4 linked regions of the Lonchura striata genome follow. The protein of the gene in region 2 interacts with the protein of the main gene of each other region in a pairwise test. Links are inferred from orthologs where the notes say so. Each region holds a gene or a part of one and is shown on either strand. Other genes may lie near its edges. The genes, in order: DCX, MID2, TOP3B and UNC45A.

Region 1 (7,504 bases), about 2.6 Mb from region 2:
AAAGGATCTGTGTTTGAGAGGAAACATCTTGCACTTCCAGCTTGAATGTGACATGATCCTCTGTGATGGCTTTGATGGGATTTTCCTTTCTATCACTTAGAATTCCATCAGGAAAGTCCTTCAAGCCAGTTTTACACTCAGCAGACATTTTGAGAGAGGCTGGCAATCAGGTGTTCAGTTACAATTACTCTATAAAATGAAATTATCAAGAAATTATTAAATTCTTGGTCACAAGTCTCCTAACTACTATGATGCAGCCCTTGGACCACCTTGGAAAAAGGAGAATTTGGATGTTTTTTGGATGTTTTGCTGATCCATTTGTCATGACCTTGGCTGGGGCTCACAGACCATGCATAATACGTAATTTGGTCAGCACTAATGTACTGACAAGCTCAGAGGGGTTCTGCACACTCCTGGGTACAGGCATAGCCATGGATTTCTGCAAGATTTGCACTTTGATTTTAAGGCAAAACGTTGCCACTGAGAAGCTGGATTGTGGAACTTGCTAGCTCTGGCAGAGTTCATTCAAAATACACAGGGGGTGTGCTGGGGTGGGGTGCTTCACTTCCTGCTGTCAGGGAATTTATTTTCAGCTGGGAAAGATTTATTAATTGTGGTGGCTTGTTGTAGAAGGGAGGGGATTGAGCCAGAAGAGATCTAGTGCTGAAGGTATTTTTCTCTTGGATGACTTTTGTGGGGTTTAATGCTTTGCTGTATCTGGATGTGTTTGGAATGTCTTGAGTTCATTGAGCTGCAGAGTTGCCAGATACTCAGCACAGAAAATGGCCTTTTCCCTTTCAGCCTGCTTCCTGATGGTCCCTCAGAGGATGCAAAGGCCCCTGGCTCCCAGATTTCAGAAATACCCAAAGCTAAAGTCACCTGCTGAGGCTGAGGGCATCTGCCACGCTGTGGGGCTGCCATGCCCTGGCTCAGCACAGCCTGTGGGGTGTGGAGCAGTGGCAGGTCCCACCCGGGGGACACTGCTGCTGTGGCCACTCCTGAGCAGTCCCACACTGAGGTGGCCTCAGAGCTCAGCAGCTTCTTCCACCCTTCTCCTCCTTCCTCACACTGAAAATTCTTTCCCTGCTCCTCCCTGGAGGTTCCAGTGGTGCTCAGTCCTTCAGCCTCAAGGTCTGAGCAGCCCCTGCAGATGTTTCCTGGGCTTGCAGAGGGGGAACTGCTCTGCAGGTGACCCTCCACCCTTCTCTCCCCAGTGGCTGGGCTGACTTTGGCTCTCCAGCTTTGGTATTTAAAAGACTTTCAGATGTGTGTGGTCCCTATAAAAATAAATCTCCAAAGGAGACAAATGTTATGTGGTGAAAGTCTGCCAAGTCCCCATTGCTTATTAGCTCGTAGTATTCTGTAGGAGGAACTTAGCTCCATAGCCTGATGTAGGGTAACTCTTTGATGAACTCTCACTCTTTTGAAGGTTCAGATTTAAAGGATGTTGCTCTATAGGGTCAAGACTGAGCCATTGACTTGATGGGATTTCAGCTGTGAGTGCCTTGACACACTTGTCAGACCCCTGCAATAACAACTTGTGGTTTCAGAGAGTTTTGGTGTTTAAGTTACATTGAGCAGAGCTCTGACAGCAGTGGTCAGGGATGACAATTTCCAAATTGTCCAGAACCACAGAGGTTAAAGTAAGAAATGTAACTAAACACGTGCTTCTAAATAGACTGACTTGGAGATGTTGATCCAAGGCTTCCTTCTAACCCAGTGATCCCTTGATTTTTCTGTGATCCTGTGGTACAGCCAGACCTTGGCTGCTTATCACCCCAACTTTTATCTTCTTCAGAAAATGTGCTGTGCTATCAGAGGCAATTTTTACAGAAGTCAGGAAGTTGCATAGCAAAGCAACAGGGCACTGACATAGAGTATCTGAGACTGCAGCTCCTAGTGATGCTAGGAACTGGATTTTCTAGGTGTATGTGAAGAAATTAGCACACAGCATTCACACAACCCCTGTCACCTGCAGTCTGTCCCTTTCCAAAGTGTCACAGTTGCTCAGCAATGTCAACAAACATGTATTTATACGGATTTATTTACACAGGAAAAAGTCTAAATATTACCTTCCTGGAGGAAAGATGATTCACCTGATTTAAAGTAGATAATTTAATCTGAAGAGCTAAATTTATCTTTCCTTTGCAGCCAGATGAAATTATTGATGGGAAGTGGAATTTCCTTACCAATTCTCAATCCCTCACACTGCCTAAAATTGTTTAGACTATGATGTCTCAGAGGGTGAGTCTCTTCTGATATAAATATGTTTTGACTGGCATTAACTGCTTAAGGCCAAGGAAGAAGCTCTGAGGAAGAACTGAAGTCAGGAGCAGACCCTTGCTTTCCTCAAGGAGGTGCTGCTTATTTCTGTGCTGATGTCTGTGGTCTGAGGTGATTCTGTTCTCACTTGGAGAGAAGCAAATATGGTGTGATTTCACTGAGGACATTTGAAATCAGTCTGGCTCCAGGGCTCTTCACCTCTGGTGGTGCTCTGGCTTGTGAGATCCTCCTGATCTTGTGGAGGATTAAAGGAGGACACACTGGAGGTGTTTTGGGCATGGTTTGGGAGGAACTCAAGGTTTCACCCAAGAGGAACCTTACCATGATTTGCTGTAGAAACCTTATCCTTCAGCCAGGGACAAATTCCAGTTCTCTTGTTGGAGTAATTCTGTTAAAGTGCCTTGCAAAGGAAGTGCCTGTGCTTCAGAAAGCTCCTGTCCCTGTCCTGAGCAGACACAGACACGCTCCTCTCACAGCAGCTCTGGGCTGGGATGCAGAAAGAAGAGCCATGTGTTAATGATGCTTGACACCCTTTGTTGTCCTCAAAACTTCCCATACAAGTCAAATTTGGGAGACTGACACATTGTGGTACAATTCTACCTGTGTCTACATCATCCTGCCTGGTTACATTGGTGTAGTACCTGGATCCTGAGCCATCATCCCAAAAATTTCCTCTTCTCTGTCAAAGCTCTTGTGCCACTGAAGGCTGAATGAAGACTCTCCTTTTCTCTATTCTTGCTGCTGCTGTACTTGGCACATGCTGAATGATTTATATTTTTGGCAAAATTTTAAAGCACTGGCAGATTTATATTTACAGAAGTGTTGTGTTAAAGGAAAGAATTGTTAATTCTGGACAGATTAAGCTCCTAGTGATGAACAGCCAGGAATTATCTAATTAAGAATATAGGACCAAATGGGAAGGACAAGGTTTGAAGTCCCACATAACCCCTTGCAACTGCATCCAGAGACCCACTGAAAGATACCCTGGAGAGGACAGACCCTGTTCTTCCTCTCCAGGGCTAATTCCTGAGGGGGGAGAGCAGCTCTGTCTCCTCTGCAGTGATCTGACCACGCACACAAGGGAGCAGCCAAAAGCTCCAGCAGAGGATGCGTGGGAGCCTTTGAATAAAAAGCTAGTTTCAGGGAATAAGAAACTTTTTACAAATGTCATGTGTGAAAGTTGCTGGCAATCAGAGACCAACTCTCAGTGGGTTTGTGTCAGTGTTGCCTGGACTATCATGCACAGGGCAGACAAAGCTGGAATAAATACTAACTCCTTCTGTTTAAATGTGATACTGCTGTGATGTGCCAAAATGACAACATCTGATGTTTTCACTCGAAACAGACGCAGTGTTGTTAGGAAAGATTTCCTTCTACAGATGGGAAAACTCTCCCATTTCCAAATCCCATTATTTTCTAACGTAAAGATGAGGCCAGTATCAGTGGGGTTAGGAGCAGGGTTAGTGGTGCTGCAGCATAGAAATCTCCACCCAGAAAGCAGGTGAAAGATTTTGCTGTCAAAGTGAAAGAGCTCAGTACAATTTTTTAACAGCTGGCTCCTCCTGTAATGGAATCAGAAGATAAACTCCTCTTACTGTGGGATATGAGCAATGCTGGATCTGCAGGGTTTGGCTTGTGCTGGATGACTCCATCCCAAAGCCCCTGGGGATTTGAATGAACTGGGATTCAGCGCTCTGGCTTTGGCTTGTGTCCAATGTTAACAGAGAAAAAATATTCAGGGGCACCTCATGCAGAACCACCAAGTGAATTCTCCCTTTCTGCTTGCCAGTGTAAACCACAGATGCTGTGTAAAACCAGCACAGGAGCAGGACTGTGCCCAGTTCCACTGGTCAGAGATTTTTTCAGTTGCCTTCCTAATACCCAGGAGTCTTGTGCCAGCTCTGTGCCACACTGTGGGATTGTGACTGCGACCCCCCTGTAGAATTGGGGCAATTATCCAGTGTTTTTTTCCTAATTCTGTATTTTTCATTTGGATCAGACGATTTCTTGGTACAACTGGATTCAAGGGAAAATTTGCATCCTTCCAAACACCACCCCCAAACCTGCCCCTCTAACCTTTTGTTTACTGATTTGTTGACATATCCAGAGCTGGAATCAGCCCCCTGTTTCCCCCTCAAACACAGCCTGTGAGCAGGCAGCTGATGGTGAGAGTGAAAATCACTGAGGCAAAGTTACCGTGAAGGGATGGAACAAGGCACTAGGACCTAGGAGGCGTCTCATCCACCCTGGCAGGAATTTCTTGCTTGGAGCTCAGACAACAAAGGCAGAGTGAGCCTGGTTTTCTTTCTCTGAGCATCTCCACCCTGCACGCTGAAAACCGGTGAGTAGAGCTTTCCTGAATGACTTGCATGCAGAAAAGTAACAGGAGGAATCTTTTCTTGGTGCCTTACAGCATCTGCAGTTCATTTTAAAATCAAAACCCCTGCATCCTCTGATTCATTCCCGAAGTTGCTTGGATGTTTCATTGTTCAGTGCATGACACCAGACTGAATCTACCCCAGCTGGCATCGTGGGGGGAACGTTCCCAACTTGGGGTTTCTGTGTGGAATGCCTGCATTGTCATCTGCCTCGCTGCAGCCTGGGGACAATGATTTTTTCTTGCATGGGTCACGCTGACATTGTAAAATACAGGGAAGGAGCTTCATTCTGCCGAGTGTAAAGGGCGGGGATGCGATAGCAACAGCTTTTCCTGGATTTATACCTGGCTGCCAAGTGCTGTAAATCCCCTTTCAGCCCTGTGCTAACATGAGAACCACATACATGAGGTGCATGTGCCTGGTGGAGCCGGGGGAGTGGAAGGGTCTCGACTGCAGAGTTGGGGGGGTTCCTTCTCCTTTTGTGTTGGGGTTTGGTGCAGGGGAAAGGTTGTTCTCGAGCATAAACTAGAGACAGTGCAAAATTCCTGCTCGCTGGGTGTCAGCTCCAGCCTCGGCTTTTCTGTGCTGGAAGCCCCCGCGCTCAGAACAATGAAAGGTGAGGAGCAGGGGCGGCGTGTCCCTGGGGCACGGGCACTTCCAGCTATTAAATCACTTAGGGCTGGAAGCGGGGGGTGGAAATAGCCCCTTTATTTTCTCCTCCTCATTAAACGGGAGCAAAAATGCAATTCAGAGGAGGCTCGGGCTGAAAAGAGCTTACCGAAGCTGCGTTTCAATGACAGATTTTTCTTTGCAGTCATTTCTTCTTAGAGATGTAGGCTGGTCCTGGGAATTGATTGATGGGCTAGGAGGGGGCTGCGGATAGGGGGAAGGGTGGGCTGGATCTCATTGCTAACCCTTATTGAACAGGCTGTCACAAAGAAACTGCTTATTCCCCTGTGACCATTCTTTCATAAATGCCAGTTTATTCTAATGTTAAACATTCAGATGCTCTGGGTCCTTCCGTGATTCGACAGATTGAAGGGCTGACTTACTGGGATCTCCTTGTTTTCTGTTGCCAAAGGAAACCTCATAGGGCTCAGAGGTTTAATTCATTGCCAACTGGTGTTTGGATGAGGTTTTTTGGGGGCTGAGTTGTGATTGCCATGCATGCCTTTGGCCCCAAGTCCCAATTTGCTGCACTTTGAAAACTCCCAGGTGCAGGAGCAGGCAGCTCTCTAGAAACGTGTTCCCTGCCCCCAGTAGTTGGATCCCTTTCAAAATGCGAGGACCCCTCCTACTCTCGGTCCCCAGAATCGATACAAATCTGGGTCAGGGGAGGGGGCGCTTCCCAAATGCATCCGTCCTGCTCCAGACACAGCCTTAGCGTCGTTCTGCTCTCCGGATTGTGGCTCTGCTGGGCTCTAACCCATCCCTTTGCCCCCCTTCTCTCCCCATCTCCTTCCTGCCCAGCTTCAGATCTTTAGGGTTCACCAAACTATGGAACTTGATTTTGGACACTTTGACGAAAGAGACAAGGCGTCCAGAAACATGCGAGGCACACGGATGAACGGCTTGCCCAGCCCCACTCACAGCGCTCACTGTAGCTTCTACAGAACCCGGACCTTACAGGCGCTGAGCAACGAGAAGAAAGCCAAGAAGGTTCGTTTCTATCGCAACGGGGACCGCTACTTCAAGGGGATTGTATACGCCGTGTCCTCCGACCGCTTCCGAAGTTTTGACGCCCTCCTGGCGGACCTGACCCGGTCCCTGTCCGACAACATTAACCTGCCTCAGGGAGTGCGCTACATTTACACCATCGACGGCTCGCGGAAGATCGGCAGCATGGACGAGCTGGAGGAAGGTGAGGAGAGGGATGGGCAGGAGGGGGCTGCACCGCTCGGTGCCCCCAGGGTCCCCTTGCCCCGGCTCTGGGGGTGCCGAGCCCCGCTGTGCCCCGCCGGGAGGGTGGCGGGGCGGCTGCCGCGCCCGCCGGGTCCCCGCGCGGTGCGGGCGTGGGGCCGGAGGGCTGTGTCCGCTCCCGGCTGTGTCCGTCTGTCCGGGTGTGTCCGCTCCTGGCTGTGTCCGCTCCTGGCTGTGTCCGCTCCTGGCTGTGTCCGTGTGTCCGGCTGTGTCCGCTCCTGGCTGTGTCCGTCTGTCCGGCTGTGTCCCTGTGTCCGCTCCTGGCTGTGTCCGTGTGTCCGGCTGTGTCCGTGTGTCCGGCTGTGTCTGTGTGTCCGCTCCTGGCTGTGTCCGTCTGTCCGGCTGTGTCCCTGTGTCCGCTCCTGGCTGTGTCCGTGTGTCCGGCTGTGTCCGTCTGTCCGGCTTTGTCCGCTCCTGGCTGTGTCCGTCTGTCCGGCTGTGTCCGTCTGTCCGGCTGTGTCCGCTCCCGGCTGTGTCCGCTCCCGGCTGTGTCCGTCTGTCCGGCTGTGTCCGCTCCTGGCTGTGTCCGTCTGTCCGGCTGTGTCCGTCTGTCCGGCTGTGTCCCTGTGTCCGCTCCTGGCTGTGTCCGTCTGTCCGGCTGTGTCCGTGTGTCCGCTCCCGGCTGTGTCCGTCTGTCCGGCTGTGTCCGTCTGTCCGGCTGTGTCCCTGTGTCCGCTCCCGGCTGTGTCCGTCTGTCCGGCTGTGTCCGTCTGTCCGGCTGTGTCCGCTCCTGGCTGTGTCCGCTCCTGGCTGTGTCCATCTGTCCGGCTGTGTCCCTGTGTCCGCTCCTGGCTGTGTCCGTGTGTCCAGCTGCGTTTCTGTGTCCAGCTCCCGGCCGTGTCCGTGTGTCCACTCCCGGCCGTGTCCGTGTGTCCAGCTCGTGGCCGTGTCCGTGTGTCCGCTCCCAGCCGTGTCCGTGTGTC
Region 2 (7,576 bases):
GATCACGAGTTGTGTTAGAGATAGAGAAAGTGGTATGTAGTTTTACTGTCTTCCTTTTTATATAGTATATTAATGTATTTTAGCATAGTTATAATAAAGAAATCTTTCAGCCTTTTGAATTGAGTCAGACATCGTCATTTCTTCCCATTGGGTTCACCTGCGTTTACAATATTCTGATGTTCTGCCCTGCCCCTCACTAATCTCTGTACAAACCCCTGCTCTCTCTGCCCAAGCAAGTTCTGGGTGCCTGGACCCCTTTGTGGTAGGAGCTCAATAGAGACCCTCTGTGTCACCCCATACAAAGACTCTGTCCCTTCCTTCTGCGTTGCTCATGGCTGAAATCACTCACTTGTGCACCCAGAACACATTTTTAAAGACACTGCTTTGGGAAGGTTATGGCACTCCATCACCTCTGCCCACCACGACACTTGGGTGCCAGGCTGGAGGGGCTTGGGCCCCTCTCCCATCCTCGGGCTGGTGCAGCTCAGGCCAGCACAGCTGGCTCTGCACGTGGGATGTTGTGCAGAATGCAGAATTACAGCGGTGTAACACTGACCCCTGAGCTCCGCAAGCACCAGGCCTGTTTTTCCAACATGAATATGTGACAGCGGGGACCCACAGCCCAAGGATGCCAGGGAAAAGTACAGCCAGCATCTCATCCCTCTGCCTGATCTGAGGAACTCAGGAGCCTTTTCCTTGGCACAACAGGACTTTGTGAGCAAATCTGCTGCTGAGCTCCAGCATGAGGGAGTGGAAATGGCATTGGCAGTACAGAGATGTGCAGGAGATGGCTGAAAACCTGGCTGGATCGTTCTCACCTGTTAAAGCCTGCCTCCTTTCCCTCTTGAGGGTCCTGGGGAGGGGAGGCAGAGTGGGGGATTGCTCACAAACAGGGTGACACAAAAATCCTGTGAGCCTTCTGAAAGAGCTGTACTGGATTGGGGGAGCATACAGGGTTGGTCTGAATGCAGAAAAGTGCAGACTTGGGAAAACAGATTTCCTCTTCAATAATCAGCCCTGAGAGCCTGTGGGGAAGCTCATCTGCCTGCTGGGGCTTTGGCAGGTCTGTCAGACCACGGGGCCTTAACAAAGGTCTTAACACTGCCACTGAGCCCTTGTGTGAAGATGAGGCATCGCTCTTATCCAGCAGAGTAAATTCTGGGGCAGATGAGTACTCCACCTCCCTCGCCATGGGAGAGAGCTGGAGCTCGTCTCAGGCTCTGAAATTCCAGGCCTCAACATGAGGTGGTGCACAGCATCCACTGCTATCCCTGCTCTGCCGCTCCCTCCGCAGCAGGAGGGAGCGAGAGCAGAATGCCTTTGGGGAAGAACTGGGGATAAAGGAGGTGCTAATGAGAGCTGCAGAAATGAAATCATCAAAATGTAGGAAAGAATCGAGAAGAAATTCTTCTGGGGTAATTCATCCATCAAGCCCTGCTCGTCTCCACACTGGCTGCCTGCTCTTCAGAAGGAGTGGGAAGAGGGATGCAGAACTTCAAAGGATTTTTTTCCTCTGCGCTTTCCACTAGAAGCACAAATTTTCAAGGGGGAACCCTGCTTTATAACCTAGTGTTATTTAGTCAATCGGCATCCCAGGCACACGGCACAACTCGAGTGTTTCCATTCCTGTCTGTGCAATGTGGATGTGAGTGCAGAGCAGCCTTGGGCAGGAAAATCCCAATTCCCCGACTCCAAGCAACATGCTCACAGCCGTGTGATGCAGAAACCGAGATGGTCCCTTGTTCAAAATGCACAGATCCTAGAAGGGCTGCTGAGCACTCGCCACTCCGACACTGACACGCCTTTGTGGGCAGATGGAGATGATCTCCCCACCCTGGACTGCTCAGCACATCAGCGTGAGGAACTCTACCCTCCTGCTGCCCTGCAGCTCATTAAAGTGCCATTTGAACCCTACCCCTTCTGTGTTTTGAGTACATGCACAGACATGACACCACAGTAATTGTAAATATTTGCCCAAGGTCACCTCTGCCACTCTGCCGATTAATGCAGGATCCCAGCTAATCCAGTGCCCATCACGCCTCGAGGGAGGCTGGCATCTGCAGTGATCCATGAGGAAAACTGAGGGACTTAAACATACTGTGTCTCTGAGCTATGGTCTGGTGGGTGCCAGCCCACTCTGGGCCTTGGCATTGGGTCTGTTCAGCAGCTGGAGCCACAGCTGTGCACATCCACCACAGCCCCTCAGCTTGGGAGTGCCAGCAACAGCCAGATCCTGCAGAGCAGGGGAGGCACAGAGGCTGATCTCCACTGTGGCATCCCAGCAGCTGCTCCAGCCCCACGAGCTGGCTCCCAGGGTGCAGAGGAGACACTGAGACTGATCTCTGCTGTGCCACCCCTGCAGCTGCTCCTGGCCCTTGTGCTCCCTGGCCCTGCTCATTCTGCGGTGAGGCTGGCACTGGAGCTAGAGGGACATGGGCACACTGTGGAGCTGGCCACCACACACCTGGGCTTTGTGTCCCTGCTGTGGGAGGAAGGCTGAGGCTCTTGGAGATCAGAGCTGAGCTGCCACTGGTATCTGCACTCCAGCACTGCAGTGAGTGCTGGGCAGTCAGGTTGTCACCCAGAGACCCTTGGTGGTGGGACGCTGTTGTGACCTCCAGCCATCTGCTCGTTTTCACTGGTCTCAGTTCCCTGCAGCCTAATGTGCCATGTCTGGGGGCTGCACATCTCTGCTGTTGCTCAGCCACAGCCCCAGCTCTGCTCAGAGCCTGAACCCACCCATGGCTACCTGCTGTGGGCTACTGGTGGCTCTAAATTTGGAAAAGTGGCTTTAATTTCCTGCCTGTCCAAGGGTCAGAGGATGGGGCCCTGGTCAGGCTGTTCATTCACCTCACATTGCTCTGCACAGGTACAGAGACAAAGGCTGGTCCCAGGACAGCTCTAGAGTCTGTGATTTGGCCACAGCTGCCTGTGCTGTGCTTTCGCTGCTAGAAAATCAGAGATGGGGTTTATAATGCAAACAACATGGTGCATATTAACCCCCCTGTTGTCAGACCCTGCTGGAAGCAAGCATTTGTGATCCCTCTGCACAGTGAACCAGGTGAGAACCAGGCCAGCCATGGTGGTGGTGGCAGCCTTGGCTGCTCAGTGGCCTTGTATCTGTCCTGTCTCACTGAGAGCCACCGCAGGACAGCTGCTGTGTGCTCAGTGTCCACCTGGACCAACAACCACCATTCCTCTGTGTGTGTGTGCAGGGATGAAGGCGCTCAGGGCACGCAGGAGGCTCCTGCTGCTCCCGGCTCACAGCACCTCCTCCAGCACCTGCCAGCAGCTTGGCCTCACCTTCAGACACACCAGGAGCTTGGGTGTATTTTCCCTCATGTTTATTTTTAAAAGACGGCTCATTTTACACTCAGGGCAGCCTTCAAATATAAATAACCTGTGCCACATGTCCCCATATTACCAAGGAATAAATTACAGTTCTGGGTTCCCCCTCCCATGTTTCCCTTTGATGTTATTGCTGTGGATACATATATATATATATATATATGCACTTTGCACGCAACAATCCAACCTCACCCAGAGCTGGTTTGCTGTATGGAGAACGCTGGGTGGGACGTCCCTTTGTGATGCTGAATCAGGTGGTGAAAAGCCCATTTAACTCATTTTTCACTTTGAAAAAAATAAATGTGTTGAAAGACCCAAGGCTGTCAAGGTACCAAATCTCACCATAAACACACGGACATACGGTGCCATCCATCGCATGGAACACGCAGTTCCCCACATCTCCCAGGGACACACGCTGCCCCGAAGCCCGCAGGAGCACAGAGTGTCCCCGATGCTAGGGTGGGAGTGTCCCCCACCCTACAGGAACATTCACTGTCCCCCGCCTGAGGGAGCACACACACAGTGCCCGATGCCATGGAGCACACAGTGTCCCCAGCCCACGGAACACGCACTGCCCCGACCACACAGGGGCACGCACTGTCCCCACGGGGCATTCACTGTCCCCATGGGGCACACATTGAGGGGCACGCAGTGTCCCCATGGGGCAGATGCTGTCCCCACGGGTCACACACTGTCCCCACGGGCAGTCCCCACGGGGCACACGCTGTCCCCACGGGCAGTCCCTACAGGGCACTTGCTGTCCCCACGGGGCACTCGCTGTCCCCACGGGCAGTCCCCACGGGGCACACGCTGTCCCCAGGGGCAGTCCCTACAGGGCACGCACTGTCCCCACGGGGCACTCGTTTTCCCCATGGGCAGTCCCCATGGGGCATACGCTGTCCCCACGGGGCACATGTTGTCCCCACGGGGCACACACTGTCCCCAGGGGCAGTCCCCACGGGGCACGCAGTGTCCCCACGGGGCACACGCTGTCCCCACGGGCAGTCCCTACAGGGCACTTGCTGTCCCCACGGGGCACTCGCTGTCCCCACGGGCAGTCCCCCCGGGGCACACGCTATCCCCACGGGTCACACGCTGTCCCACGGCAGTGCCCCCGCCCCGCGCGCTCCCGCCGGGCCCGTGCGCGCTCCCGGCGCCGCGGCCTCACCTGCGGCGGGGCGGGGCCGGGGGGCGGGGCCGCGCGCTCGCACCGGCCCCGCCCCGCCCGCCCCGCGCGCGCCGCCGCCGCCGCCGTGTCCCCGCGCCTCCAAGATGCCCGGGCAGCGGCAGGGAGGCTCCCGCGGGCCCCCGGTACGTACCGGCGGCACCGGGGCGGGCGGGCGCGCCGGGGCGGGCCGGGGGGGCTCCCGCGGGCCGCCGGTAGGTACCGGCATCGGGGCGGGAGGCGGCACCGAGTCGGGGAGGGAATGCCGCGATCCACTTGGTAGGTACCGGGGCGGGAGGAAGCACCGAGCCGGTCGTCGGGGCCGCGGCGCGGCCCTTCCCGCGGGTTTGCAGCGAGTGCCTGGGCGGCGGACTGCCGCCCTTCCCGGGAGCCGCCGCGGGCTCCCCCCGCTCCCGGTCGCCTCTCCCCGTCGCCGAGTGCGTCTGCCAGCCCGCTCCGGCACCTTCCGCCGCTCGGCGGGGAGACCGGGTGGCCTGTCCCCGCCCGGCGCTTCCCGCGGCCTTCCCGGTGCCCCGGTTCGCCCAGGGCCGTCCTGCTGGGGAGCGGCGGCGCGTTCCGGGCGGAGCGGATACGAACTCGCCGGCTCCCGGCTCCCCGCCCGCGGCTTTGGGGATCCCGCGCCCACCCCGTCATGCCCCCGCCTTCCCCCTCGCCACGGGTTTTTCGGTGGACAGTGTCGTATCCCTCTCGCCGCCCAGCCCCGTGCCCGCGCTCCAGCTCCGCCGGTTTGTGGTGCCGGGCTGTCGTCGCTGCCGCAGAGCCGGTGCGGGGCCGGTGCTGCCCCGATCCTCCCGGGCCCCCCCCGCTCCCCTTCCCCCAGCGCGGCTGGGATCTGCTGAACTCCAGGGCCATGGAACTTAATCGCTAGCGGGCTCCGAGACCGGCGCTTCGGAAGCCGCAGAGGAGAGACACGGCCACGTGTGGGAGGTCTGCCAGCGCTGCCCCCCGGGACACCGGGGGTCGGGAGACGTTCCCGGGGTACTGCCCGCGCTTTGGGGTGTCAGCGCTGAGCCGGCAGCCGAGTGTGTTTGCTTGCGCCGAGGATCTGTGCGGCTGCTGGAATACGCGCCCAAGTGACACCTCGTTCTCGTGCTTTATTTTTCTATTTTGCCTCAAAAAAACATCCCAGCCGCAGGTTTATTGCCCCGATGCGCGCAGCTGGCGAGGGCTAGAGCACGGCTGGAGCGCGGTGAAGGGCCGCTCTGCCCAGCGGTCTGCGGAGTTTCCGGCGAGGGCAGATGGCTCTGCTTGCTCCGTCATTCCCTCAAGTCCGGACACGCCGGCGTTAATGGCTCCTGCCCTTCCTGGCTGCCGCCCAGGTCTCCCCAGCCAGCCCGGAGGTTTCGGCTCGGCTTTTGTTGTCGGAAGGCGGCTTCAAGGAGACCGGCTCTGCCGGAGGAGCTGCCGCAGCCGGGTGGGAGCTGGCAGCGGTGCGTGGCGGAGCGCAGGGCGCTGCTGGCTCCCGGGTGGCAGGGGGGCATCATCGGGCAGTGTCGGGCAGATATGGGAGATGTCACCGACCTGCCGGGGGGGCATTGAGTGTAGGCTCGAGTTGCTCTCAGACCCTTCTGCAGTGCCCTTCCCTCCTGTACCCCGGCTGCAGCGGGCAGTGACCCTCAGTCTGTGCTGGAGGGGCTGTGCAGAGCTGCTTCCGCTCCTCCGGGTGTCAGGGGCTCTGTGCTGAGCTTGTCTCTGCTGCATTTTGCCATCAAGGAGCACACTCGAGGCTTGGCTTGTGCCCCTGAACAAGGGGTAGTAAAACTGGCCACAGTACGGAGGGAAGGAGGGAGGCTGGCCCAGGCAGCAGTGCTGGAATACCCTCGAACCGAGGGGATGTTCCCTGAGGACACTCCTGGGAAAAGACAGTAAGTGCAATAGCACTACAAGCAGGAAGGATGAATTGATGCCAAGGACAGCAGCAGCTGTCTCGGTTCAGGCAGGTGGCTGCAGAGCCCTGGATGTGCCGGCTGCTGCGATCCGAGCTGGGTCTGTGCCCTGTGCAGCCTTCCATGGCGGCTGCGAGGCCGTGCCTGTGCACAGCCCACGTCCTGCCTGCTTTGGAAGTGCTGCTTTGCAAAAGAAATGGAGCTGCAGTGGGTGATAAATCCCTGCCTTGCAAAGCGTGCACCGGGTGAGCTGTGCTGGCCTCTGAGGTGTGTGTCGGTGTGTGTGCCTGTTTGTGAGCAGAGTGGGATTGGCCCTGGGACCATGTGAGATGGATAAATGACTTACTTTTAAAGCCAAGATTTTGTTGTCTCCTGCTCCGTCCCCTCTAGGGATGGATAGGTGTTTCTAAACCCACGCTGCGACTCACCTGGGCTCTCTGTGGGTTCCTGAGCTATCAGCTGTGGCTTCTGTCGTGTGGAGGGGTGCCTTGAGCCTTTTAGCTCTTGGGTCAACCCCTGGCTTTAAGGGCGTTGGAGCATCCTGAAGACTGGTCTCTGGAGAGACCAAGGCTGTCCCATCAGAGATGCTGGAACCAGAACTGTCTGGTTCACTAAAGGAAGCTGATGAGCAGTGTGATTACTTTGTTCGTCTGGAAGGAGTTCTGCTGCTGATTACAAACACCTTCTGTAACAAACCCACCTTAACCTGATCGAAACCCCTCTGAGGCTGGTGCTCCCCTCATTGCAAGGGGAGGGTGGCTGCTCCCCTGAGCTCCCTTCTGGAGAGGGACAAAGCCTTGGGGAGCCTGTGTTGCTGCTTTCACTTGTTTTCAGTGTTCTTTGCCTGGAAAGCGAGTGTGTTGCAGCCAATGAGTGCCATCATCTGGTACGAACGGGCAGCCCTGGCAGCCCCTCTGACCAGGAGCATCCCCCGGCCTCAGGCTGCTGCCTCCAACGCCATCGCTGGCTGCTGTGGAGCCTGGGTCCCAAAAATGCCAGGGCAGGGAGGTCAGCTGCGGGAGAATGCTGTGTCTGTGTGGCTCTGAAAGGCTCCTTGTGCTGTGCGAGGGCGGGGGGCTCCAGTGGCGTGCAGGGAGCATCTCACCCCTCGGATCCCGGGCGCCTGCCTGTGTTCCTACGCAGCACTGGAAACACT
Region 3 (7,156 bases), on a different chromosome or scaffold from region 2:
GAAAGTAGGGGCGGGGAGGCAGTGAGTGGCTGTGTGGGGTTTGGCTGGCATTAAACCATGAGGGCACAGAGCCCCTCTTGAACCTTTGACAAAACTGTCTGCAGTCTGTGCTGTCACCTTGTGAAGGCACAGCCAATCCTCAGATCCAGCTCCTGGCGAGCATCCACGGACAGAGCTTCGTTGCGATTGGGCTCTCCCAAGTGATTCATGGCATTGCAGATGTCTGTGTCGGTGATGGAGCTGAATTTAGCTCTGTAAATCGTCCTCTCCGTGCCACGAGGCTTGTTCATGACAGGAAGAACAGCATCAAGAACCTAAAGAAAATCAGAAGTGTACTTAAAAAGGATTTGAAAGATAAAGGCTTTCTCTCTAAAGATAAAAAAAAAACATTCTCCACAAAATATTTGTTTCTGTGTCACTGCTTTCTTATTTCAGCAAGATGTCATGCTCACACATTAACTGATAAGCCAGAGCAGTATTTGTCCATCCACTCAAAAGCATATAAAGAATTAACAAAACTGAAGGGATTATCTACTATACAGCAACTGCTGGGAGCAAATCAGTATTTTTGGCTAAGGGCAAAGACATTCAGCAGTGCAGCTGCAGCAGCTTTTGGTGAACATGTACCAATGTCTATCTGGGTTTATTCTACTCATTGCTAAGCACAAGTAATGACACAGGGGTAAGAAAGGAACTTACAATAATCACTTCATAAAACATGTTTCTTTAATCTAAAGAAAATCTCCAAACAAGTACTCTTCATGTAGGCTTCTGGGAATTGGATGTTAAAAAAAATCTTAGCAAAGTTTTTGTTCTATGTGTTCTCTGCTTTTTATGTGCAGAAGCAAAATTTAAGCAGCATGATTATACTTGCAAGCAGCTTCTGTGCTCCAAGGAATCTAATTGCTTAATAAACAAAAGATAACAGATGAAGTTTTATAAGGACATAAAAATAACTTCTCCAGCTGTGAAATACAGGCCAATTATTGAAGTACTGGAATGTTCTAACATTTAAGAGGCCTGATTCTTCATCTGAGATGAGCAACACCTCTGAAATTTATTTATACTCTTTAACTGACATCTTACAGAGTTAAAAGCATGTGGGCTTTTCCACCAAGGCCCTCTATGCCTTTAAAACTTTATTCAAGTTTAGTTTGAATTTTACTGTACACTCATAAAACAATGCATTGATAGTCTTGTCAGACATATATTATGGTGTTGTGAGTCTTAAAAATTGAAACCTTACTTCAAAACAGATGTTTTCTCCTTCCTTATCACAATCCAACCACAAGACAATACAATCACAGCCTCTTCCCTCCACCTGTGAGAAAAATCAGCACAGTTCTTCAGCAACTCAAAACAACATCTCCCCCCTCCCTACCCATATATTTTTTTCCTGGTTTCAGCATGGTGTGTGAAGTGTGAACAGTAACCAACACAGACTTATTTTAAAGAAGGCATTTATAAGCTGTGCTTACACTTGCTGTTATAAAGTTAAACTTGCATCCAGTGCTCCAACTCTCAGAAGCAGAATATCAACTGTCAAAAAACTCAGAAGGCAATGGGAAAAGTGACTTTAACATAGATTTTAGACAGCGCAAGAATCAGCAAAAATAAATTATTTATATTATGTTAATAAAATAGATCTAACTGTGACAAAAAGCTACTCCCTGGAAGAATTTTTATTTAGGCACATAGAAAATGCTAACTTTAAATTCTACTCCTAAGAAAGAATACCTGTAAAAATTTCACCATGGTCAGTTTGGGATTAGCTTCTTTCTTTTCTGTGGGAGCTTTACTAAAAAGTTCTGCTGGATCCACTTTGTCCCAGCTGTTATATTTTCCTGAAAAGCAAAAGTATATAAAATGGAGCTCTGAAGAAATATTTATAAAACAAACAGCTTCACATTGCAAAACACTTGGCTTTCAAAATTTATGTGGAAAATTTTCTACACTAACAGATCTTGCTTTACTGTATACCAAGAAACCTCTTCGTTTTTCTGAAGGACCTGGCAGCTCTACAAGCCATATTAGTTAAAACATTTGACGAGCAGGCAAATACCTATGAAATCCAAAGTCATGACGTGACCACACACCGATGTCATCTTGAAGTGGGCGCTCTGTCCTATGAAGGACCCGGTGTACTCGTGCACAGAGCACGCACCGTTGAGTCCCTTGCGAGAGGACATGTTCCCTGTGAAAATAAGATCATAAATATTAATGAGGTAGAAAAAACCCCAGCTAGTGAAACAAATAGTTTTGTGTGAAATTAAATCTTCCTTTCCTTAGATCTTACAGCTACGGTCTTTCTGATCATTGATCCTTTCTGATAATTGATGAGAAAGATCTACTCATTGATAAAACTTTCATTTCAGTAAGTATCAATTCAGGGCTTTCCTAAAGGATATTTTATCTTCAAATTAAACTATCCATTATCTCCACCAGCCTTTCCCTCCCACCATGAAACCTTACGAAAATACAGCTAGTTTTCTAGAACACACACTTATAATAACTTTATTTTCCATATTTATAAAACTTTTACTTCACAGATCTCAGAACAGCCACTGCCTACTTGATCGGCACTTTCCAGACACCGCATGCTCTAAGGCAAAATACTGAAACTAGATTCCTTTATTCTTGGATTAAACAGGCATCAGCCCATAGAAACAATCAGAACGTGATGGGACATCCCGTTCTTTGATGAACCTCTCCGAAGCCAGCGCTGCCAGGGGGCTCCGGCCCCAAGACAAGGCAGCCGCTGCCCAGGGTGCCTGTGCAAAGCCGGCAGCTCGCACTCACCGCCGCGCTCCGGCCGGGCCGGCCCCGCGGCGGGCACGGGCACCCGCCCCGCCTACCTCTGGAGAGGATCTTGGCGATGGACTGCGCCAGCGACGGCTTCTCCGCCACCATCAGCACGGTCCTCATCTTCGCCGCCGCGGCGCGGAGCCGCGGGCACGGCCCGGCGGAGCCGGGGAGGGACGGAGCGCCGCTCAGCCCGCCCGCGCCGGGCCACGGCGGCACCGCGGGCACGGGCACGGGCGCACCGCGCCCCGAGCGCCCGGCACAGCGCCCCGCCGAGCGGCCTCCGCGGGCGGCCCGCCGCGTCACTGCCGGTCACGGCGCCGGAAGGCGCGGGCGGCTCCCAACCGCCGCGGCGGCGCGCAAGGCGCGGGACACAGACGTGCGCCGGGGCTAGGGCGGACACACGGACACACAGAGACACGGACACACAGAGACACGGACACACAGAGACACGGACATACACACACGGACACACAGAGACACGGACACACAGAGACACGGACATACACACACGGACACACAGAGACACGGACACACAGAGACACGGACACACAGAGACACGGACACACAGAGACACGGACACACAGAGACACGGACATACACACACGGACACATGTGCGGACACACGGACACACAGAGACACGGACACACAGAGACACGGACATACACACACGGACACATGTGCGGACACACGGACACGTGCGGACACACGGACACACAGAGACACGGACACACAGAGACACGGACACACAGAGACACGGACATACACACATGGACACACAGAGACACGGACATACAGAGACACGGACACACAGAGACACGGACACATGTGCGGACACACAGACATACACACACGGACACACAGAGACACGGACACACAGAGACACGGACATACACACACGGGCACACAGAGACACGGACATACACACACGGACACATGTGCGGACACAGACATACACACACGGACACACAGAGACACGGACACACAGAGACACGGACATACAGAGACACGGACATACACACACGGACACACAGAGACACGGACACACAGAGACACAGACACACAGAGACACGGACATACACACACGGACACATGTGCGGACACACGGACACACAGAGACACGGACACACAGAGACACGGACACACACACACGGACACACAGAGACACGGACACATGTGCGGACACACAGACATACACACACGGAGACATGTGCGGACACACGGACACACAGAGACAGACACGGACAGACAGAGACACGGACACACAGAGACACGGACACACAGAGACACGGACACACACACACGGACACACAGAGACACGGACACACAGAGACACGGACATACACACACGGACACACAGAGACACGGACACACAGAGACACGGACATACACACACGGACACACAGAGACACGGACACATGTGCGGACACACAGACATACACACACGGACACACAGAGACACGGACATACACACACGGACACACAGAGACACGGACACACAGAGACACGGACACACAGAGACACGGACACACAGAGACACGGACATACACACACGGACACATGTGCGGACACACGGACACACAGAGACACGGACACACAGAGACACGGACACACAGAGACACGGACATACACACACGGACACACAGAGACACGGACACATGTGCGGACACACAGACATACACACACGGAGACATGTGCAGACACACGGACACACAGAGACAGACACGGACACACAGAGACACGGACACACAGAGACACGGACATACACACACGGACACACAGAGACACGGACACATGTGCGGACACACAGACATACATGCACGGAGACATGTGCGGACACACGGACACACAGAGACAGACACAGACACACAGAGACACGGACACACAGAGACACGGACATACACACACGGACATATGTGCGGACACACGGACACATGTGCGGACACACGGACACACAGAGACACGGACATACACACACGGAGACACAGACACACAGACATACACACACGGACACATGTGCGGACACACAGACATACACACACGGACACATGTGCGGACACACGGACACACAGAGACACGGACATACACACACGGACACATGTGCGGACACACGGACACACAGAGACACGGACATACACACACGGACACATGTGCAGACACACAGAGACACGGACACACAGAGACACGGACATACACACATGGAGACACAGAGACACAGACATACACACACGGACATGTGCAGACACACAGACATACACAGAGGCTTGTGCGGACATATGGACACACAGAGACACAGACATACACACACGGAGACATGTGCGGACACACGGACACGCACAGAGACACAGACATACATACACAGAGACACACACACACAGAAACGTGTGGACACACACAGACATACACACACAGACATACACAGGCACATATGCGGTTACAAGGACACACAGAGAGACAGACACAGACAGACACACAGACACATACGTACGCACAGGCGTGGATACACACACATTTACACATATAAACTCACCCACACATATACACACTCATACAGAGACATATACAGGTATACACGGACATATACACACATACATAGATGTACATGCAGAGACACATACACACACATATAAGCACTCACAGACATACAAATATATACATATATATATATATATACATATATATATATATATACACACGCATTCTCTCACACTCAGACCCCCCGGGGCTGGCGCCCCCCGCTGCAGCGCCCCCTGGCGGCTCAGGGCGGCGCGACCCCCGCGCTCCCGGCGGCGGGGCCGGGCCGGGCCGGGCTGGGCGCGGCCGCCGCTCGGGTCACTCGCAGGGACACCGGCACAGGGGCACCGGCACAGGGACACCGGCACAGGGACACCGGCACAACGCACCGCCTCCCCTTCCTGCCGAAGCCCGTGGGGAAGCTGTGCCGCGGGAACCGCCGGTGCCGTGCCGCATGGTGTGCAGATGCCCCCTTCCTTCATCCACACCGGTGCACAGAACGTGTATCACCCAACCCCTCTAAGGGAACACACACACAAGTTGTATCTGCTGTGTTCGAGCGACACGGACCGCTGTGCCTGTGCCAGTCTGTCACTCAGGTTACAGTTCCTGCAGACCCGAAACGCTACAAACAGTGTCGGACACTGACAGCATCTCCTTTAACACAGATAAATTCACCTTAGGACTCTTAAGAGCACCTGCTTCCCTTGCACCCTGATTAGATCATGGAAACAATATTGAGTGATTCTTGAAAAAGTGTATTTTTTTTGCACATTAGATTTTAGATTAACGTTGATGTCTCATTTAAGCAGAAATACAAAAAAGAGAAAAAACAGTGGGAAGAGAAGGGTCAGGCTGGGCAGAAGCACACCCTTCCCTCGTGCCTCCTTTCCCCAGGGAGAAGGCAAGGGCTCCCCCGGGGGATTTTGCCCCTGAAAGCTGCAGCTCCTTTCTCCAAGTCATGGAGGGACTCTTTGCTCTGTCCTGTTTCCCAGGGATGCTGGGCCCTGTTAAGGAGATTTGGTCAGTGGACTGAAGCTGTTTCTAACCTTTCCTGCATCTTTCAGCTCTTCCACACATCCTGAAATCTGTCTAGGGAAGAGATAAAGAGGGAAGCCCCAGGTTGATGGGTTTTTATAAGCACTTTGTGGAAAGAGCTCAGCTCTCTATTTTTACCCCCGTGGTTGTGCATCGATCGTTGCCAATGTTTATAGCACTTTTCCCAGAGCTGCTCAGTACCATAAAAACCCAAAGAGAAGAGATTGGGAAGCAGCCAGGATCAGGATGTATATCAACCTCATGCTGGCTGAAATAAAAAGGAACTAATTCACCTTCAATTTGATTAGTAGACAATTAATAGACACTGAAGTTGTTAGCGAAAGGAAAAATCAAAACAAGCCCAGGCCTTTTAATTCTTTGGCAATATTAAAGTTCGAACATATTAAAACAAATGTGTTCTTCTCTTTCAATGCCTGGTTCCCTTTGACATCTGGGGAACATCTGGAACAATCAGGATGCGAGTTAAAACCAAGTCTTCAGATATGTCAGATACATATTTTTTAATTTCCTCTGGTAAAAGCCCTCTACAAAATCCAACCTTCCTTTTTTCTTTGAATGCTCAACGAAACATGAAATTTCAACTTGCGTTCACCCGGGAAAGCACAGCCGGGACTCTCCCCCACGTGGCCGAGGGACTCCGGACACTCTGAGTCCCCGTGTACCCCGGGCTGGTACAGATGCGTGTGGCTGTTCCTGGGGCCACACAGGGGCTGCCCCGGCCCGAAGGGATCCCGCTGCCGGACACCCACGAGCCCTGCGGGGCCACCGAGTCACGGAGTC
Region 4 (7,320 bases), on a different chromosome or scaffold from region 2:
GCTCCGGCTTCTTTTCCAAACTGATCTCCATGTTTAAAGCCTTGAGCTTCCCTGGCACCAGGACTGGCAGCCGTGAGGTAATGGCCAGCCTGGCCCTGCTGTCTCTCCCTGTCTTGTGCACTAGCTGCTAGCCACTAGTCTAGCCAGGCTTGTAGCAGGTCTGTAGCCTGACCATCAACTAGCTGGGGTCCTGTTTGGGTGCTGGGGCGGGGGGGGCTGCTTGGGCAGGGGCAGCTCTGTGTACACTGTGCTGGCAGGTGCCTGGTCTCAAGGCACTGCTGGAATGGAGGTTCTTTGGGCCTTGCCCAGGCTCTGCCTGGCTTTCTGAGCCCACACTTGACCTATGTGCTGCTTGGCAGGTGCAGGACGAGCGCCCCATCAGCTTCCCCTCCCTGCTGAGCCACATCACCTCTGTGCACCAGAATGCCGAGGCCTTGGTCATGCCAGTGGCATTGGAGAAGCCAGCGCTGCCAGCCCTGCGCTCCTTTGTGCCCCTTGCCACCACCCTTCCTTGCGACTTCCACATCCTCAATCTGCGGATGCTGCAGGCAGAGGTGAGCTAGGGCCCGGGGCGGTGGGACTCTGGTGGGAGTCCTGCCCCTGCTGTCCCCCGTGCTGTGCCTGACGCTCCAGCTCCCTGCAGGATGAATCATTGCCCTCAGCTGAGGCAGCGCTGATCCTGCACCGCAAAGGCTTTGACTGCAGCCTGGAGGCCAAGAACCTGGGCTTCAACTGCACCACCAGCCAGGGCAAGGTAGGGCCAGGCTGCCCCCATACCTCCGCTGGGTCAGAGCTGGGCTGGGACCTCGGCATGGCAGTCATGGCACGTGTCAGGCTGCCTTGGGCACAGTGCTGCCCCAGGCATCACATCCTCATCTAGGCCTCCTCGCTTCTTCCTCCTCTCTCCTCAGCTAGCTCTGGGAGGCCTGTTCCAGGGCTTGGAGCTGGGCTCCCTGCAGCCCACCTCATTGACACTCATGTACCCGCTGGGCACAGCCTCCAACAGCACCAACATCCATCTGGACCCCATGGAAATCGCCACGTTCCGCATCCGCCTGGGGTAGTGTCAAGCAGGAGAGGAGTGGAGTGGCTGGACAGCACAGGAGCAGCACCAGTGCAGCAGTGGAGTGGCTGGCAGTACTGTGACAGGCACGGGCAGGAGGGGCCAGACTGGCACAGGCTGCTGCTGCCACTTCCTAATTTATTAGTTCCATGTTCTCAGATGGATTTTGGACTGACTGCTGTGGCAGGGCTGGACCAGGCGTTGCTGGACGTGGCGCCGGATGGGCTGAGCGTGGCTGGGGAGGGCTGCAGGCTGGGCTCTGCTGCTGCTGGTGGGACAGACACTGCTGCCTGCCACAGGCAGGCTGCCCAGGAGGGCAGCCACCCTGATGGCTGGGGCAGGGGCCCCTGCAGGGCTCCCCCTGCATGGCAGGGCAGCAAGGGGAGGCCAGGAGCACCGGTGGTGTTGGGCAGCTGCCTGAGGAAGTGCTGTGGACTGGGGACTGACCTCTCCTGGAGCTCATAGGAAACACAAGGCTGTTTCCAAGGGCCCTGGTGTTATGTGTGGTTTGTGGCTCTCACTCGAGAGTGGGAATGGTGTGCTGTGGGGAGACAGGGCCTCTGAGGCAGGCAGAGACCAGCTTGAAGGTCTGGCCAGGCACCTGTGAGAGTCTGGTGGCATGGCCAGGCCCAGCTGTGCTTGGAGGCAAGCAGTGCCTGGTGCTGGGCAGGAGCCAGGGGGATGGGAGTCAGTTCCTTGTGCGGGCAGCAGTGCCTGGGTGAAGTGCGGGAGTGCCTCCCCCAAACCCAGAGCCTTTAGCCCCTTTTCAGAGTGAGCCTGGCGGTCCGCTCTGCTGGGGCTGCAGTGGCTGAGTCGCAGGTAATTGCACCATGTCACCAGAGCATCCTCCTGGTTGCTGTGGGAACCACAGGTCATACTTCCTGGCCCCTTGGGGCTACTTACTCCCAACGGCCAGCAGGGAGGGCATTGGGAAGGACTGGGTGAGGTGGGGAACTGCCTCAGCTCTGGCTTGGTTGGGTTGGACTGGATGAGCTTAGAGGTTTTCTCCAACCTAAATGATTCTGTGATTCCACGATTCCTGCACAACCCCCAGCACATCCACATCCCATGGGTTTGGCCCCTGGAAGCTCAGCACCTCACAGCACTTGCCCTGTGCCCTGGCCTGGTGCAGCGCCCTTTCAGGGACTTCCCGGATGGGCCCATGTGCCCAAGTGGGGCCCTGGACACAGCAGCTGGTGCCATGCATCCAGCTGGGAGTGGAGCCTGCTGTCCTGCTCCTGGCCCCAGAAGCTCATTAGTGATGCTCCCGCCCCCAGCCCAGTCCCTGTGGGCAGAGTGAGTGCAGGAAGCTCTAATGGCTCTGAGCGGCTCTTGGTGGAGGCTGCGATGGAGGCGGGAGCAGGAGGGGCTGTGGTTTCTGCCTCCACTGGAGCCAGAACTGCCTCTGCCTAGGGCTGGCTGAGAAGATGCTGGCTGGGCACCTGCTCCAGCTGCTCCTTACCGCGGCTCTGTTCCCCAGCATCCTTGGGACAGGTACAGCCCCATTCCTGCCCCTCCTATTCCCTGAACCCATCCCTGATGGGGCCTTGTCCCTTGAGGGTTGCTCCCCGACAGCCCAGAACAGAGGTTGGGGGTCTGTGCTGGGAGGCAGTGGTCTGCAGTGAGAGGTGGTGGTCCATACTGGGGATGGTGGCTCAGGTGTGGTGGTGCTGGGGCTACTCCTGCTGCAGCACATCTGCGGTGTCCAAGTGCTGTTCCCACAGGGTCACAGGGAGGGGTTGAGCACGGGGGCTGGGGGCTGACCTGATGTCCTGGGCGTTTTCCCCTCCTCTCTGCCACCAGCACCGCCCCTGCCCACGTTTGCCCTTGCCGAGGCCTTGGTGAGCACCGGAGGTCACAGCATACACAGGGCCATGGCACCAGAAGGCAGTGCCAGGGGAGCTCTGCTCCGCCACTGCTGCCTCGTGGGGTGTAGCCTGCTCTGAGGGCCGAGCCAGGTAGCCCTGTGCCAGGTTAGCCAGGCTCCCTGGGGCTGGGGAGCCCTCAGCCCAGGCCAGCCCAGCCCTGCTGGGACTGGGAGTCCCTGCTCTGCTGCATCATGGCAAAGAGCATGTCGCTGGAGCCTGTCCTACAGGCACTGCACAATTCCTGTGTTCTCCTTCCCTGCCCTCTCCAATGCGTGCTCCCCGCTGCAGTCTCGGTGCAGAACCTGCACCTCTGCGAGGGCTACGTGGGCCCTGATGGCCGCTTCCACCCCGGCTTCTACTGCCCGCGGCTGACCGACCCCCCCGGCCACCGCTACTGCTGCCAGCCCAGCCTGGACACTCTAAAGTCCTGCTGCTCTCAAGTGGCCCTGGAAGCCCTCACTGGAGTGAACCTCTCCAGCCTGGCTAGCCCTGGTCTACTCCGGTGAGCAGGGCTGCAAGTGGCCATGCTGTTGAGGATGGGGGGCCCTGGGGACTCCTGGCACACCCCCAGGGGCTTCTCCTGGTTGCTGGGGCAGGGGCTGTGGTATCTTTTGAAGCCCTCAGGGGGCCTCGGATGGCCCTCCCCAGTACCAATGGGGCTGCCCCTCCTGAAGTGCCCCACCCTGCAGGAACCCGCTGGCCCTGCCTTTCGTGGGGCTCTATGGGCTCCTTGTCCTGCTGCTTATGGCCATCGACCTCTGCCACTTCTACTGGACCCGACGGTGCCACCTCGGCCGCCTGCTGCCCCGCGCCTGCCGCGTGCCCCGTGGGCTCCCGCGGGGGCAGCCGGCCGGCGCCCGTCCTTCGCACCGTGTCCCCCGCGGGACGCGCCCCGGCCGGGGCTGCTGAGGGGCGGCCACGGGCAGGGCAGGGCTGTGCGCAGGGGGGACGGCACCCTGGGGGACGGGGGGTCACGCTCATACCGGGGTGCAGCACGGGGGGTTTGGGGGGACACTCGATCTGTGGGGCTAAGTACGAGGTTAAGTACGGGGAAACACTCACACTCCGGGGCTAAGTTCGGGGTTAAGTACGGGGGGACACTCATACTCCGGGGCTAAGTTCGGGGGCTGTACCGGGAATACTCGCACTCCGGGGCTAAGTACGGGGGGGGGGGGGGGGACACTCGGGCTCCGGGGCTAAGTACGGGGTCTGTACCGGGGGATACTCGCTCTCCGGGTGCAGCGTGGCGGGGGATGCGTGGCGGGGACACGCGGGGACACACGCCGGGCTGCCGCCGGTCGGTGCTGGCACCTCCGGGCCGCGGGGCGGCGCTGCAGGCTCGGCCCGCCCGCCTCCGGCCGCGCCCCGTCACGTGGCAGGGGCGGTGGCGTCCGGGTTCCCCAGGCGATCGGCGGTGACGTCACGGGCGTGGCGCGATGGAGGAGCCGGTGAGCAGGGCCGGGCGGGGCCGGGCCCGGGGGTCCCTGTCCCTGGGGGTTCCTGTCCCGGGGGTCCCTGTCCCGGGGGTCCCTGTCCCAGAGGTCCTGTCCCGGGGGTCCCTGTCCCGGGGGTCCCTGTCCCGGGGTCCTGTCCCGGGGGTCCCTGTCCCGGGGGTCCCTGTCCCGGGGTCCTGTCCCGGGGGTCCCTGTCTCCGGGGTCCCTGTCCCGGGGTCCCTGTTCCTGGGGGTTCTTGTCTCCGGGGTCCCTGTCCCGGGGGTCCCGGTGGTGCCTGTCCCGGGGGTCCCTGTCTCGGGTCCGTGCGGGCCCGGGGCTGTGTCCCAGCCGGTGCCCCTCGGCAGGTGACGGCGGAGCAGCTTCGGGCGCGGGGTAACGCGCTGTTCCAGGCGGGGGATCACGGGGCTGCCCTCGCTGCCTACACGGAGGCTTTGAGCCTGAGCGACACCGCGTCCGAGCGCGCCGTGCTGCACCGCAACCGCGCCGCCTGTTACCTGAAGCTGGTGAGCGCGGGCGGCAGCGGCCCTGCGGCCTGCAGGAACCTGCCCGGCTGGCTGGGGCTGTTCTCAGGCAGTCACAGTGTCTCTGATCTCTTGCAGGGAATCTTTGTCTGGGGCAGGGGGTGAACACGAGGAACTTTAGGGGCTTGAGGAGACCAGAAGTGCCTGAAAAGCTCTGGGGGCCGTAGGGCTCCCTGGACACCTTCTGAGGGCTGTACTCTGGGAAAGACAGGGTGGGAAAAACACTGTGCTGGCTCCCTGTCTACAGTAACGCTGTTCTCATCCTGTCCCCAGTCCCCAAAGTTAGGGGTGTAGGCTGTGTGGGGCCTGTGCCAGCAGTGCTCAGGCATTTTTCTCTCCTATCTCTCCACAGGAAGATTACACCAAGGCGGAGGCTGATGCGACTAAAGGTACTGTCCGTGGGGCTGGGGGACCAGTCCCTGAGCTGCCCGTGGGGGCAGGCCCCGGGCTCTGCCACTGACCCCTTGTGCACAGCCATCGAGGCTGACGGCCGGGATGTGAAGGCGCTGTTCCGCCGCAGCCAGGCACTGCAGCATCTGGGCCGCCTGGACCAGGCCATCAGGGACCTGCAGCGCTGCGTCAGCCTGGAGCCCAGGAACAAGGCCTTCCAGGAGGCCCTGCGCACCCTGGGCAGCAGCATGCACGACAAGGTTGGCAGGGAGGACTGGAGGTGCTGGCCCGTTGTGGCTGTGGGCAGCAGGAGAAGCTGGGGAGGACTGAGCCACTCTTTCTGCTCTGTTGCAGATGAAGGCCATGTCCTGCACGGACTCGAAAGTAGAGCAGATGTTCCAGATCTTGCTGGATCTTGAAGAAAAGGATGCGGACAAGAAGCAGAAAGTCTGAGCTCAGGGAGTGGGGCGTAGTGCTGTGGCTGGGAGGAGAGGAGGGGAGGATTGTTGCCCCTGGGCCAGCGGTGGCTGAGTGGTGCTGCCTGGGCTTGCCCTTGCCCCCCTCAGAATGCTCCCCAAGACAGGGCCGGAGGGTGGGTGCCTGCAGCTGCTGGTGCACAACGTGCTGCCATGACCCAGACAGAACTCTCCTTCCCCAGGCTGCGCAGAACTTGATCGTGCTGGCTCGAGAAGAGGCTGGAGCAGAGAAGATCTTCCAGAGTGACGGTGTGCGGCTGCTGATGCAGCTGCTGGACACGGCCAAGGCTGACCTGATGCTGGCAGCCCTGCGCACACTGGTGGGACTGTGCTCCGGCCACCGCTCTCGTGTAGGTCCCACCACACCCTATGGCTGGGCCCAGGGCAAAGCTGGGGAGGCTGCAGAGTGTCAGACAGGGGAGCTCTGAGCTGTTACCTGCCAGGCCTGAACTTGTGAGAGGAAGCCATCCTGATAAGGGGCGGGGAAACGGCCAGGCTTTCCCAAGGCCTCCGGAAGACAGGTGTGCTTGTACCTGCAGACCACAGCCATCTTGGCAGAACTGGGAGCACCCCGTCTTGCAGCGGTGTTGGGAGTGGAGCATGAGCAGGTGTCCCTGGCTGCCTGCAACCTGCTGCACGTGATGTTTGACTCCCTGAAGGAGGGGCTGCAGAAAGACTTCCGCGGGAAGGAGGATGCAGTGGTGCTGGGTGAGTGTGGGCTGCCTTGGCTGGCTGTTGTATGGGGAGAGATGCAGGTAGGTGCAGAGGTGCCATGGGGTTTTTTGCTGCTGCCCTGTCACTGCTCCCTGCAGCAAAGCTGGGCTCTGATGCAGGGTTAACAGGAGGCAGAAGCCCCTGGTCATGGCAGCATCTCTGCCAGCTGTGCTGCAGTGGGGGTGAGGCTGTGCCCAGGGTGCTGACTGCTGGGGACTGTCTTTTTTGGAAGATTCCTCCAGGGACCTGAAATTGCTGATCAAGCACCTCTTGGAGCTGCTAGTGGTGGAAGGGGCCTCAGCACATGGCCGTGACAACGCCCTCAACCTGCTTATCAAGGTGGTGCCCAGGAAGTCACCAAAGGAGACCAACAACAGCCTGAGCCTCTGGGTGATTGATCAGGGTTAGTGGAATGGCTAGCAATGTCCTGCTGGGGCATCGTGCTCCTCTGCCCCAGGTCTGCTCATGCCACTGCGCCCCTCACTGGGCTGTCTGACCTTTTCCAGGCCTGAAGAAGATCCTAGAGGTGGGCAGCACAGTGTGTGGCAGCGCGGGCAGCCTGCCTGTGACAGAGAACAGCCGGATGAGCACCTCTGTTCTGCTGAGCAAACTGTATGAGGACCTGAAGTGTGATGCCGAGAGGGAAAACTTCCACCGTCTGTGTGAGGACTATGTGAGGTGAGCCAGGGTGTCCTGGGAGTGACGGGGGTTTTGTCACCTGCAGCCTGGCAGCACCTGTCAGGGGGTCAAAGCTGACTGGGGACCTGCTGTGGGGGGCGTCAGCAGGTGGGGCAGGAAGAAGCAGGTGGATCATCCTGACCCTTTCTGGTGGT

What was found.
Region 1: the proteins of MID2 (region 2) and DCX interact in binary tests that used the Homo sapiens proteins (3 or more experiments, as listed by UniProt). The two-hybrid records come from large-scale screens. The link is inferred for Lonchura striata from reciprocal best matches to the Homo sapiens genes MID2 and DCX.
Region 3: the proteins of MID2 (region 2) and TOP3B interact in binary tests that used the Homo sapiens proteins (3 or more experiments, as listed by UniProt). The two-hybrid records come from large-scale screens. The link is inferred for Lonchura striata from reciprocal best matches to the Homo sapiens genes MID2 and TOP3B.
Region 4: the proteins of MID2 (region 2) and UNC45A interact in binary tests that used the Homo sapiens proteins (3 or more experiments, as listed by UniProt). The two-hybrid records come from large-scale screens. The link is inferred for Lonchura striata from reciprocal best matches to the Homo sapiens genes MID2 and UNC45A.

What each region holds. Positions count from the first base shown.
Region 1 is NC_134616.1:17,687,180-17,694,683, forward strand, and holds the start of DCX (neuronal migration protein doublecortin), read left to right. Parts: upstream 1-4,495; 5' UTR 4,496-4,624; intron 4,625-6,092; exon of another isoform or gene 6,093-6,131; 5' UTR 6,132-6,158; coding exon 6,159-6,522; intron 6,523-7,504. UniProt on the Homo sapiens protein: Microtubule-associated protein required for initial steps of neuronal dispersion and cortex lamination during cerebral cortex development. May act by competing with the putative neuronal protein kinase DCLK1 in binding to a target protein.
Region 2 is NC_134616.1:15,075,830-15,083,405, forward strand, and holds the start of MID2 (putative E3 ubiquitin-protein ligase MID2), read left to right. Parts: upstream 1-4,574; 5' UTR 4,575-4,659; intron 4,660-7,576. UniProt on the Homo sapiens protein: E3 ubiquitin ligase that plays a role in microtubule stabilization. Mediates the 'Lys-48'-linked polyubiquitination of LRRK2 to drive its localization to microtubules and its proteasomal degradation in neurons.
Region 3 is NC_134620.1:7,281,108-7,288,263, reverse strand, and holds the start of TOP3B (DNA topoisomerase 3-beta-1), read right to left. Parts: upstream 3,007-7,156; 5' UTR 2,926-3,006; coding exon 2,856-2,925; intron 2,195-2,855; coding exon 2,063-2,194; intron 1,845-2,062; coding exon 1,738-1,844; intron 1,322-1,737; coding exon 1,247-1,321; intron 315-1,246; coding exon 118-314; intron 1-117. UniProt on the Homo sapiens protein: Releases the supercoiling and torsional tension of DNA introduced during the DNA replication and transcription by transiently cleaving and rejoining one strand of the DNA duplex.
Region 4 is NC_134613.1:24,392,318-24,399,637, reverse strand, and holds the start of UNC45A (protein unc-45 homolog A), read left to right. Parts: upstream 1-4,349; 5' UTR 4,350-4,367; coding exon 4,368-4,379; intron 4,380-4,730; coding exon 4,731-4,889; intron 4,890-5,259; coding exon 5,260-5,296; intron 5,297-5,381; coding exon 5,382-5,557; intron 5,558-5,651; coding exon 5,652-5,744; intron 5,745-5,955; coding exon 5,956-6,123; intron 6,124-6,312; coding exon 6,313-6,481; intron 6,482-6,719; coding exon 6,720-6,890; intron 6,891-6,993; coding exon 6,994-7,165; intron 7,166-7,320. Other genes in the region: MAN2A2 (alpha-mannosidase 2x), read left to right, coding at 1-77, 360-554, 644-754, 912-1,064; protein shisa-like-1, read left to right, coding at 3,135-3,433, 3,621-3,757, 4,174-4,349.